Linked DNA regions of Oryzias latipes. The protein of the gene in region 3 interacts with the protein of the main gene of each other region in a biochemical or structural test. Links are inferred from orthologs where the notes say so. Each region holds a gene or a part of one and is shown on either strand. Other genes may lie near its edges. The genes, in order: rad51, apbb1 and ena/VASP-like protein.

Region 1 (3,752 bases), about 18 Mb from region 3:
GATGATCGGACTTTAAAGCTCAAACACTTGGGTATGTGACCTTTGACTGAATGTGTTCGGAAACCTGCAAACTGTCTGATCTCAGGAAGTGGACTGGAGGACAGCAGAAGGTGTGAAGGACTCACCTGGACTCTGCCATCATGGCTGAAGCTTGGTACAGCAGTTGGGTCTGATGGTCGGTGTTGAAGGCGCGGGCGTACGCCACGTTGTCCAGGACGTCACTGCCCACCAGACCGTACCTGAAGAGCCCAGAGTTTTAACATTTTCTCAAAGTAAGATGAGGAGTTTGACGCTCACGGTGGAAACTCGCCTCTCTGCCACAGCGAGGAGCCTCTCTGGTCTGAAGGTCCCCTCTGTGTCGATGTACATCGCTTTCCCTTCTCCTCCCCCTTGATCGATGGGCAGCTGCAAACAGAACAGAGGACTGAAAGCTTCACGTGATCAGACAGATGGAAGTTTGGCCATTCCGCGCTGATCTTACCTGACACGTGACAGCGAGGGTGTGGCACAGCTGCGTCTTCCCCGTGCGAAACTCCCCAAACATCTCTGTGATGGAGCCTGTCTCAATACCACCTGAACTCAGGAAGGAAAAGGTCAACATTCTTCAAATCCTCAGGGATGGTGAAGGAGCTCCAGCAAACTCACCCTGCAGGAGTTTGTCCAGCTCTTTGGATCCTGTGGAGATCTGGATGATCTCCGACCTTCTCTGGTGGAACTCTGTGGCTGTAGTGAAACCCATCGGTACTAGCTTGGCAGCTTCAGTCTGAGAGAGATAACAGAACCGTTAGGTAGGAGCAGCAGAATCCCTGAAGCCAGAAGCTGCTGTTCCTCACTAGGATCTTGTCGGCTTTGGCCTCGCTGATGCCTTTGATGTTGAGCAGCTCCTTCTTGGGAGCGTACGCCACGGCCTCAATGGTGTGGAAGCCTGCGTCCTCCAGTTTCTTGATGTCGCTGGAGCTGATTCCACACTGCTGCAAGCAGAAACCAAAATGTTTAAGACAACAAAGCTTCTGCAAAAGACACAATAGAACTATCAGGGTTCAAACCTCCAGTCTGCTAAGAGGCTGCGGCCCAAAGTTCTCCTCCTCCTCCACCGCCACTTCTGCCTCCACCCGAGCCTCGCTCCTCATGGCCATGACTCTTGAATGAAAAGCTGAATTCTCCTCAGGCAGGGTCCTCACTGCACAGAGTCAAAAAGGAGTGTCAGAGCAGCAAACACCACGATACAAAACAAAACAGGACAGAAAGTTTAAGGAGGTCTAATGCTTTCATTTAACTAAATCCTACTGATTTAATACTAGTTTTTCTTCAAAACATAAAAGACTTGAGGATATTTTCTTAAACTAAAATAGGAGCGTTTTAAACGACCCAAAACACCTAAGCACAGAATAAGAATATTAACAGTAACTTAAAACTTAAACACGTGAAACATGATTTCCCAGCATGCAATTATCCATCAATCCTCTTTAGAGGTTTTTAAGCAATATACTGAATACTAACGAATTTTTATTAGTCAAATAATTTTAAATATATACGTTTAAATTACTTTTCTTTCCTCTACATAATTCAGGGAATAAAGTGGCATTATCAAACCAATTTGCAGCCTGTTATGCAGCAGGGATTTGTAGTTCTTAGTTGTAGTTGATAAAATAAAATGTTAACTGCAGCGTCTCAGCAGGTGTTCAAAGCTTTTTTTAATCCGCATTTTATAATAAATGATTAGAAGAGACAAATGTTTTCTAAAGTTAACATTGCCTGTTGAAGTTACACCCCGTTGTTCAAATTCAAAAACTTTATTGATAAGTTGACGTAACACTTATGGGGAAACCAGTGTTTAACCAAACGACTACAAACTGACTCCTATAAATCAAAGTTTTCCAATAACAACAGCAGCTGTTCATATTTTCAAAAGGCTTATTTGTATCTTTCAAAGCATTTTTTGGCTAAATTGAAGTCGCCCGCTAACTTAGCTTTAGCGCTAATTTGCGTAATTTCGTACAAAAAGTTTGATCTTCCGTAAAGCTGCTCTGGGTTTAAGAGCAAAGAGCCAAGTGTCATGGTTCGAACCCCCTAGAAGCAGTGACATTTTTCTACTAAAGACCACGGTTTCGATGAAATACCTGCTGCTTTGTTCTGTTTGCTGATCCTACAAACAAAACTCCCGCGCACGAGATTCCTGTCGAACGCGATGACGTCACATGTGTTCCCATGCCTTGACAAAACAGGAAACCGGAAAAGGAACATTTTTTTTATCAAGTAAAAAATAAAGAACTAAACATTTTCGGTTTTAGCTTCGTAAATGGATATTAGTTTGAAATTGTTTTCCACAAAAACATAAAATATGTATACTTAAATCTTAAAAAAAGAGGCTTGCTCATAATGTGAAAAGCTACAAAGAACAGGGATCCGTTAAAAATCCAAAATTTCTCATTAGGAAGATCTGTTTAAACGCATTTTCCCCTCAATTTCATGTTTATAAGTAATGTCTTTACCAAATAAAATGTCTGTCAGACACGTTTTTGTGATTATTTTAACAAAAAAAGTCTTCAAAAGTGGTATTTAGATTCATTTATTCATCCGTGACTAATAAGGTTTTCAGTAAACATTGAAATAAACCTTTATTTTGATAGAGCAAAGATTTCACTGAATTGTAAAAGCACTTTCAGGCATCATTGGCATCTTGTTTAAATTTGAAGCCTTTATTTTACTTTCAATAGGAAAATAAAATCCCCACCATAAAAGGATTTAAACATGACCTCCGCATGCTTAAATATGCGTTTGATTTTAAACTAGTTCCTCAAAAACAAACATCCAAGTCATGGGCCAATAAATGCAAATTCAAATTTAAAACAGCTGTGACCTACTAATTTGACATTTTTCGTACATAACTGCAACAAAATTCAAGTGAATTTTTTTTTTCCAACCAAGCGTAACCTTAAAACAATAAAAGAATAAACCTCACATTTCATTTTCCATTTATTACAATTATAACAAAATTGCACATGAAGTGTTTTCAACTCAGAGGAGAATCACTCTTATACTGAAATACAAAAAAGTCAGACTAAAACACAGGATTTATTTTTTGGCTTTAAAAGAAAAGTGAAATATTCATTTTTAAAAGGATTCTTTTAATGTTCATTGGGTTTTGCAGAAATCTTCTTTTTTGGGAGACTGTGGCCACCACGGGTCTGTCCCACTGGCTCCAGCTGCAGCATCTGAAAAATAAAAGATTTAAAAACATTTTTTCTGTGCTTTAATCATCAACATGACAGAATCCTTTACCCTGGATTTAAAGAAAAAGACTGGGGTTAGAACAAATGCACACAGATAAATATATATTTAAAAAGTAAATAAGAAGAAAAAACCTGAATTTGTTAACAGAATTTACTGTCTTTACTAAAATGAATCTGCTCAGCTTTATGTTTTTTCAGACTTCAGAACAGATCAAAGGTTAGTTTGCATCTTCAGAAAACTTTTCAGTAACCGTTAAAAACATTAGTAAGCAGGAAAATTCCAGAAGTAGCTTTTGAATCAACAACTTCACGGTGACTCAAGAAACCTCTGGATCTTTTCACAAATTAAGAGCCTGCTTTTAAAGAAAGGAGAGAGTCAAGGGTCCTCCCAGAATTAAACAGCTGTCCACAGATATGCCTGCCTATTAATCTGCTGAAACGCCTTCCTCTGGAATGGAAAGACTCCCATTTCCACGGAGCACCTTCACAATAAAACCAGCACACTGTGGAAATAAAGAA
Region 2 (3,664 bases), on a different chromosome or scaffold from region 3:
TCTCTCTTTCTCTTTCTCTGCCGTTGACTCCAAAGTGTCGATGAGCAGCGGCTCATTGAGGATGTTCTTGGAGTCCTCCTGACTAAGACCAGGGGTCATTGCTAGTTTGGGAACCTTGGTCTGCTCTTCGTTTCCCTGCTGTTCTTCCTGAGTGATGTTCTGGTGAGGAAAGTCATCCTCGTTTCCATTCTGACTGATATTACAGTTGTGATCTTGATCCTGATGATTCTCAGCTACTTTCCGGAGCTGGTTCTGGCCTTCTTTGACCCACTTGGCATTGTTGCTTGTAGACTCCTGGTCGCACCAGTGGCTGCCTTCATTCAGCTTGTTTTTCAGCTCTTCCTCTTGCCTTTGTTTATTTACAACATATGTCATATCTTCATCATCATGACCACCCATGGTAACTTTCCATGCGAGATATCTGATGAAGAAAGAAATGTTAGAAACACAGCGTTAGAATTTCAAATAGCATGTACTTTGCAGGCAGTTTAGGACAACAGTTATTTTTTAAACACAGTTTTTATTTCATTTCATGTGGTTTTAAATTATAGCATTTTAAAGTGATCTATACTTGTGCAATCATGTGTAGGCACAGGGCTAAAGAAAGACAGAAATAAACACAGAATGAAAGAAAGACAGACAGAAAGACAGACAGAAAGACAGACAGAAAGACAGACAGAAAGACAGAAAGACAGAAAGACAGAAAGAAAGAAAGAAAGAAAGAAAGAAAGAAAGAAAGAAAGAAAGAAAGAAAGAAAGAAAGAAAGAAAGAAAGAAAGAAAGAAAGAAAGAAAGAAAGAAAGAAAGGTTTTGTTTTATGAAAAAATGCTGAATACATTTTTAACTGTTGGCATATTTCTAAAAAAACACAGGATGAAAACAAGATACAAAATCATTGCAGACAGGCTAAATCAGAAACCTTTTTTGTTATTCACTGCAACCGATTTCTAAAGCAGGATCCTTTTTCAAACGACCCATAATTTCTTTCCAAAAAGCTGAGACACAAACCACAAGCTTACACTCCCAAAATGGCCTGTAAAACCGAAGATTCTTTACAAATCTTAACTAAGACTAACTTAAGCCTGTGATGAAAAGGCTAGTTTTCTTAAAGAATCTGCTAAAAATGTATTGCAGAGTTAGTGACCAATTTCCAACCTTTTTTCTTTATTTCTTAGAAATGCTGTTGCTTTTATAGAACTGAATTTTGATAGCCAAGTCCTCAAACTGATTGTAAGTCAGCAGCTGGAACCAGTGAACACCAAGAAAAAAAAAGTTTGGATGTGGATTAGGCCTGGACAATAAATCGCAAATTTATCGTTATCGCATTATCAAGCTGTGCATTACGCATAACCGCAAAAGTCGGTGAAAATTGCATACCTTAAATGTGCTAAAACAATCTTATGACACCTTGAAGTATTTAATAAATCAAATAAATCCCTTAATGTTATTGCCCAATCAGATGGAGCCCTTTTAATGTTAGATGCTCGCCTCCTATGCAGACGAGGGTCATTTGGAGTAGAATTTAAGTTATGTTGACTTTTATTTAAATCAAACTGTTGCAGTGAAATGGAATTGATGCTTTTGGTAGTTTTGCTATTCGTTCATGCATCGCAAGTTCTATCATCATCGCAATATTGATCACTATTATCGCAAATTGTGAGTTTTCTTTATATCGTGCAACCCTAATGTGGATATCAGTTATATGAGAAATTTTATGTCAAATATTAAGATCATCTGAGCAATATGACAGGTATCCGGTCCTGCATATAACCAAACTCTTGCAAACATACAAAGTAGCTGTTATGCTGTTGGCCTGCAGAAAAGTCAACCAATGATTCTCCTGCACTCTGATTAGAGCTAATGCAGCAGTAAAACTATTTCTGATTTAAAAAACAATAACAGCCACAGCCTTTAGAGAAATAGGGAGCTGCAGCAGTCGCATCAAACCTTGAGAAATGATTTTATTTTAGTTTTAAGACACTGTCTTGGAGGAGGCAAAACCAGAGCAGCACAGTCATTCAGTGGAGGCGTAAAAAGACAGTTTGACAGCTGAGAGTCTTTTTTTTATTTTTTTTTTAACTACTTTGACAATTGCATCCCACTTGATCAGTTGACATAACGCCTACCTGGAAGCTGTGGAAGCTTTATGAGGAACCAGCTGTTTGGTTTTCCTTATTTTATATACTTAAATCAAATAATAATTCATTTAGGAGAGGGGGCATGCAGCAAAGCTTTGAGATAATGTCAAATATCTGATGCTGCAGTTCCTACATATTTCCTATAATTTAATAGCACGTCGTTAGCATCTACAAATATGCTTTTCCAGATTGATTAAAGCAAATCCATATGGGTAGAGTACGTTTAAAAGAAGCAAGTGTGTTATTATTCTTCTCTATGGTCGTCAGGGATTCCATCCGGAAAATTATACTCATCCTTTCCATTTGCTTGCTTGCTAGCACGGCCTTTTTAAGGTTTAAGATAATACGCTCAAGTGGCAGTAAAATGGCTGGCCCTGACAAATATTTTGAATTCAGAAAAGAATGAATACAAAATATAAAAGATAGAAGACAAAATTCAGCGGCGGATGCTATCGCCGCAGCTGGAAATAACGGCCACCATCCGCCGCCATCATCACCTTCTTCTCTGCTCGGCTAAGGGGTTAGCTTCGCCCCGCTAGCCAGCCAAGGCTACCGAAGTGAGGGTTTCAACGGTTGACGTCTCCCAGGATATTATCCAGAGCTGTTCAAAAGATAACTTACCGGTTCCACCAAACCCGCTGTGATCGATAATTGCTCTGGAGGCCGAGTTAACTACATATTTCCACGCATCGTGAGGTTCTGCTCGGTTCTGGGTGTTTTCAGGCAGTGATGGAGGACGGACTGCGTCACGGAATGACGTCACGGCCCGAGCCCACGGAGCAGGAAGGGGGGCTCCACGAAGCAGCCTCACCGTTTTTGGAGAAAAAGATCCATCCAGTGAGGACGTTTTTGACTTCATTACATGCCACATCAAACAATCACATCAAACATGAGAGATAGGTAAATATATACTGTATATGTAGTCTTTAAAGTATTGTACAACCAAAAAAAAAAAAAAAAAAATCAGAGTAACGGAGCAGAAAAAAGGAAAAGGTTACATAACTTTAATTTTATTTCTCTATTATTTCCCAACAAAAACTCAAAACATAAAGCCTACAAAACCTAAATTTAGCGTGGCTTTTTTATACTCTGCTTTCCTTTTCAAAAACCTAATTTCTGACCTGTTTTTGGAACAACAGACAGATAACGGTCAATTTAGATTATTTTATTTTTTATTTTTGCAGCCTTTAAACTTCATTTTATTATTGAGCTTATCAGGTTCAACATAAAATTGGCAAATAAATATTCATTTATTTTTATTTTTATTATGAAAAAAAAAAGTATAAACCGAAAATAAAAGTCAAATACAAGAAAGAAAACATGTTTTTTTTTACAGTTTGTTTCAGTTTTTAAAATAAATTGAAAACATTTCTTGGATCATTTTAATCAACCATTGTGTTAAATCTTTAGAACTCAAATGTTGTTAAATAAGAATTTTAACCTATTGCATCTACACAAAAAAGATATTTCCAGTGCACTAAAAGCTTAAATAACACTTATTAAATGTATTTTAAAATATCTTATTT
Region 3 (3,652 bases):
ACGGCGCTGTTTTGTCAGATTCCCTAATATCAATTCAAAATCTTTACTTCTACATCAGCTATTTCAAGTGTTTAAATTGTCATTTAAAACCCCTTTTTCTATAGTTTTAAAGTCACACATCACGGAAATAGTTTTTAAATTAATAAAAGTACCTACATGACATGGTGCAGAAGAGAAAGCGGTTGCAGCAGATGCACAGACACTGACAGACCCACTCCCTCCTGACCATCTCCTGCCTCGGTTGTCCCTACACCTCCACTCTCCCACTCCCGCTCTGTCCATCTCCACCTCTTTGTGCCTCCTCACCTCCTTCCCCGCCTCGGCATCGTGTGTCATGTTTGAGGAAACCCACACCGGCAGCAGTGCAGCGAGCATCTTTGGCTAAGGTTTCAAAACATTGGGTTTGTCTGCAAGCTGCACGGCCGAATGTCACCGAGCCACATGAGAAGTCGATTATCTGAGTGGCCCCTGGCTGCAGCAGGCGGCCCCTCGTCAACAAAATCAACCACTTTCATCGTGTTTTAAGTCAAAATGACCACCATGGGTCATGTTTTTGTCCCCCCTACCACTAGGAGGTATTATCAGCATAAAGACTACACATAACCTATGGAACTGTCCAAAGTGAGGTTCACGCTAATCTTTTACACCTGCATCCAGTGTGTTCGTGTTTGGCTCAGATCAGCCAGCAGCTGCTGTCACTGCAGCCCTCGCCCCACGTTAGCATGCAGATGAAAAGGTCCGCTCCAGACCTCAGGGCCCAGGGGAGATCCTCTCCATGAGTCATCTTAATTAACGGGCCGGGGGGGTCGACTGCAGGGGCAAACTAAAAAACCCTGCAGGCTGTGAACGCCACTCCGTCTCATTCTGTTCCTCTGCAGTTTCTAACTCTGTGGGGCAGCGCTTGTGAATCATTTATCTCCTGATAAGAGCAGGAAAAATGGACACATTTAGACAAATGGCCTAAAAACACGACCGTTTGCCTCATCTGAGAAATGAAGATGGAGACTTTTATTGTTTCTCCACACGTCCTTGACAAAGAGACGATCCATCATCTCAATTACAGTTTGATCTTCTCATCTCCAGCAGGATCTACCTGCTGGGTACTACAACTCATCCAGCAGATTTCATGGCTTGTAACCTGAGCCCCACATTTACAAAAGGATCAAACAATCAATCAACAAAAACCAGAACTCTGTTTAAACTCCAATTAGAGCCAGATTAGTTATGGACTAAGACACAATAGGGGAGTAGCAGGTTTTAACGCCCTGCGTGAGGCATCATCTTACACCTATCATTGGACGCCTCAATAATTGAGTTTGGAGATCTTGATGAGATTTTCTGCCAACGTTCCTTTTTTTTTTGTAGAAATTGCGAAGAACAAACTTCTTCAGTTGTTTGCTGAAAGCTTTCAGATGTGGGAGGGGCTGAGTCACTGACTGCAGTCCCTGTAAACATCTTCATCGTTTTCCTATCAGTCCAGAAAAAGTTGCAGGTTTCGTCGTTGCTAAATGAGTCAAACGAGAACACACCTCCATCCTGAGCACTGAGGACATTGAGGGCGAAGAGCATGGCGTTGGAGAAGGTGGTGGCCTCCTCTTTACTGGCAAAGTTGAGGCCGTAGACCTGCCGGGCATCCCTCCACTGGTGAAAGGTGGGAGTGGCTTGGTTGTACTTGAGACCCTTCACTATGGAGTAGTTGATAACCACCTGTGAAAAGAAATGAGATGTTTTTATTTTTTTAGAAAAAGGAGCATTGTTCTTGTGTTTTGCCCTAAACATGACATACATCTGCTTGGGACGGTTTAAATAATGTCCCAAAAAGCCGATTATATTACCAAAACAAAAAACTGTCTATGACTCAAAATTCCCAACTTTGAATTTCCTTTTAACTATGCTTTTTTTCTTTTTTTTCTGTGTTTAAAGTTCAGGTTTGAGAAAAACACATGAGGATTAGGATTCTCCATATATTAAATCAGCTCTCATTTAATTTGAGCGAATCATGACAGTTCACCATAATCCAGAATTTAAAAAAGAAAGAAAGAAAAAAGGAAATTATTCAGCAGTTTATAAAATAACAACAAAAGTTGCTCAACAACAGAACATTCCATCCCACAGATCTCATCCAGAGTCCAGTGCGCTGCTTAAGATGTAAAAGATAAATATACCCAGAAAGCTTTAACTGACTGAGGCTGAACACCAATCTTCAAATCGTGTTTCTTTCTTTCCCACTAAACATTCAGCTTCAGAGCTTTTATTTTGAAAGAACCCCAACTGAGAGTTTAGCCTAAAAGTTATTTTGGAAATTCCTCACAGAAACATTAGGGCTTTTAGACATTATTTTAGTATTTTTGTTAAGGATAAAGAAAACGTCTCGTCTTCTGCTGTAAACATTACAACCAGACAGTTTATTTAAATCTACTGCAGGATGTAAAGGCCAAAAAAAGAGTGTTTTTTTACTTAAATAAAGATGCTAAAAGATAATTTTATTTAACTTTGTTTTTAAAAACGATGTGTCCTTCAAGGTTAGGTGGAATCCCTCAGCTGGTAGAAGATTAGTGCATAAGTAAGATTTATCTCACTGTTATTACATTTTTTTCAGCTTTTTTCTATGATTTTTAAAACACTAACATTTAGACTAAAAATGCTCTTAGTATTTTATTTCAGTGGCAAACTTTCAGGCTTCTGGAGCTTCATGAACACACAGAAGTCCCTGATTTGTTTAACAAAATGTGATCAATAAAATACATCCATCCCATTGGAAATGATAGAATATGTCTCAGTTGGACTCCGGTACCTGCTGGTCCTGCAGTTTGACACCGACCACTCTGAAGGTGTTGCTGGCAGTGTTGTGGTAGATGTTGATGCGACTGAATCCCTGCTGTCCGGGTTTGATGGGAACCCACTTCTTACTGGTGTCATCGTAGACCATGACGGAGGCTCGAGCCTGGCAGATGCTCTGCTCGCTGGGGGGAAAACACAAAAAGACGAAGGATTCGTGAAAGAAATCCTGATTTAAACATCCTGAAGCTGGACGAAACATCCTCCTACGTACAGTAACTACCAACAATGCAAATGTGTCCTCTGTAGAGAACATTTCTGAATGTCTCCCAACCACCGAAAGAACTCCTTTTGGTACAGAGGACAGATATAAAGGGGGCGGAGCTCTGGGAATTGTAGTTTTCGGGGGATCTCAACTGAAAGTTTTTTCTGGTAGTCAGGAGAAAATGCCACCATTTCCACACTTAAGGTTGTAGTTCAGAATAAATATAATAGAGTACGGTCTAAAAGTGAACCACAGTTTTACAAATTATCCATCAATTTACTCAACCCGCTTTATTGTCCTTTTTGGGGTCACAGGGTTGCCGGAATTTGTCCCGGCTACCATTTTACGAAGAAAAGAATAAACAGAAACGACTAAAATGTGCTAAAAACCCAACAAACTGAAACCGTTTGGTTCCTCTAAACAACAAAGTGGAAAAGAAATGTCAAAATAAAAGTCTAATTAAGTAATTGGAAAAAATCCAGTTGAAGTGACTGATGATAAAACTCACATGTCACAAACTCCATGTCACTAAACCTGATTTAAATTAGATGAAAATCCTTCCTACGCCCTTCAAACAGACGGTCTACTTCTAGAATGAAGACAAATACT

Evidence for each region.
Region 1: the proteins of ena/VASP-like protein (region 3) and rad51 form a complex in vitro, tested with the Homo sapiens proteins (2 studies listed by BioGRID and IntAct). The link is inferred for Oryzias latipes from reciprocal best matches to the Homo sapiens genes EVL and RAD51.
Region 2: the proteins of ena/VASP-like protein (region 3) and apbb1 form a complex in vitro, tested with the Homo sapiens proteins (2 studies listed by BioGRID). The link is inferred for Oryzias latipes from reciprocal best matches to the Homo sapiens genes EVL and APBB1.

What each region holds. Positions count from the first base shown.
Region 1 is NC_019882.2:19,722,663-19,726,414, reverse strand, and holds the start of rad51 (DNA repair protein RAD51 homolog 1), read right to left. Parts: upstream 2,192-3,752; 5' UTR 2,121-2,191; intron 2,085-2,120; exon of another isoform or gene 2,000-2,084; intron 1,181-1,999; 5' UTR 1,137-1,180; coding exon 1,047-1,136; intron 972-1,046; coding exon 834-971; intron 764-833; coding exon 646-763; intron 574-645; coding exon 482-573; intron 406-481; coding exon 311-405; intron 240-310; coding exon 126-239; intron 1-125. Other genes in the region: centromere-associated protein E, read right to left, coding at 3,136-3,215.
Region 2 is NC_019871.2:9,726,796-9,730,459, forward strand, and holds the start of apbb1 (amyloid-beta A4 precursor protein-binding family B member 1), read right to left. Parts: upstream 2,921-3,664; 5' UTR 2,760-2,920; intron 422-2,759; 5' UTR 400-421; coding exon 1-399. UniProt on the Homo sapiens protein: Transcription coregulator that can have both coactivator and corepressor functions. Adapter protein that forms a transcriptionally active complex with the gamma-secretase-derived amyloid precursor protein (APP) intracellular domain.
Region 3 is NC_019882.2:2,014,459-2,018,110, forward strand, and holds part of ena/VASP-like protein, read right to left. Parts: exon of another isoform or gene 2,973-3,652; intron 2,964-2,972; coding exon 2,795-2,963; intron 1,708-2,794; coding exon 1,530-1,707; intron 1-1,529. UniProt on the Homo sapiens protein: Ena/VASP proteins are actin-associated proteins involved in a range of processes dependent on cytoskeleton remodeling and cell polarity such as axon guidance and lamellipodial and filopodial dynamics in migrating cells.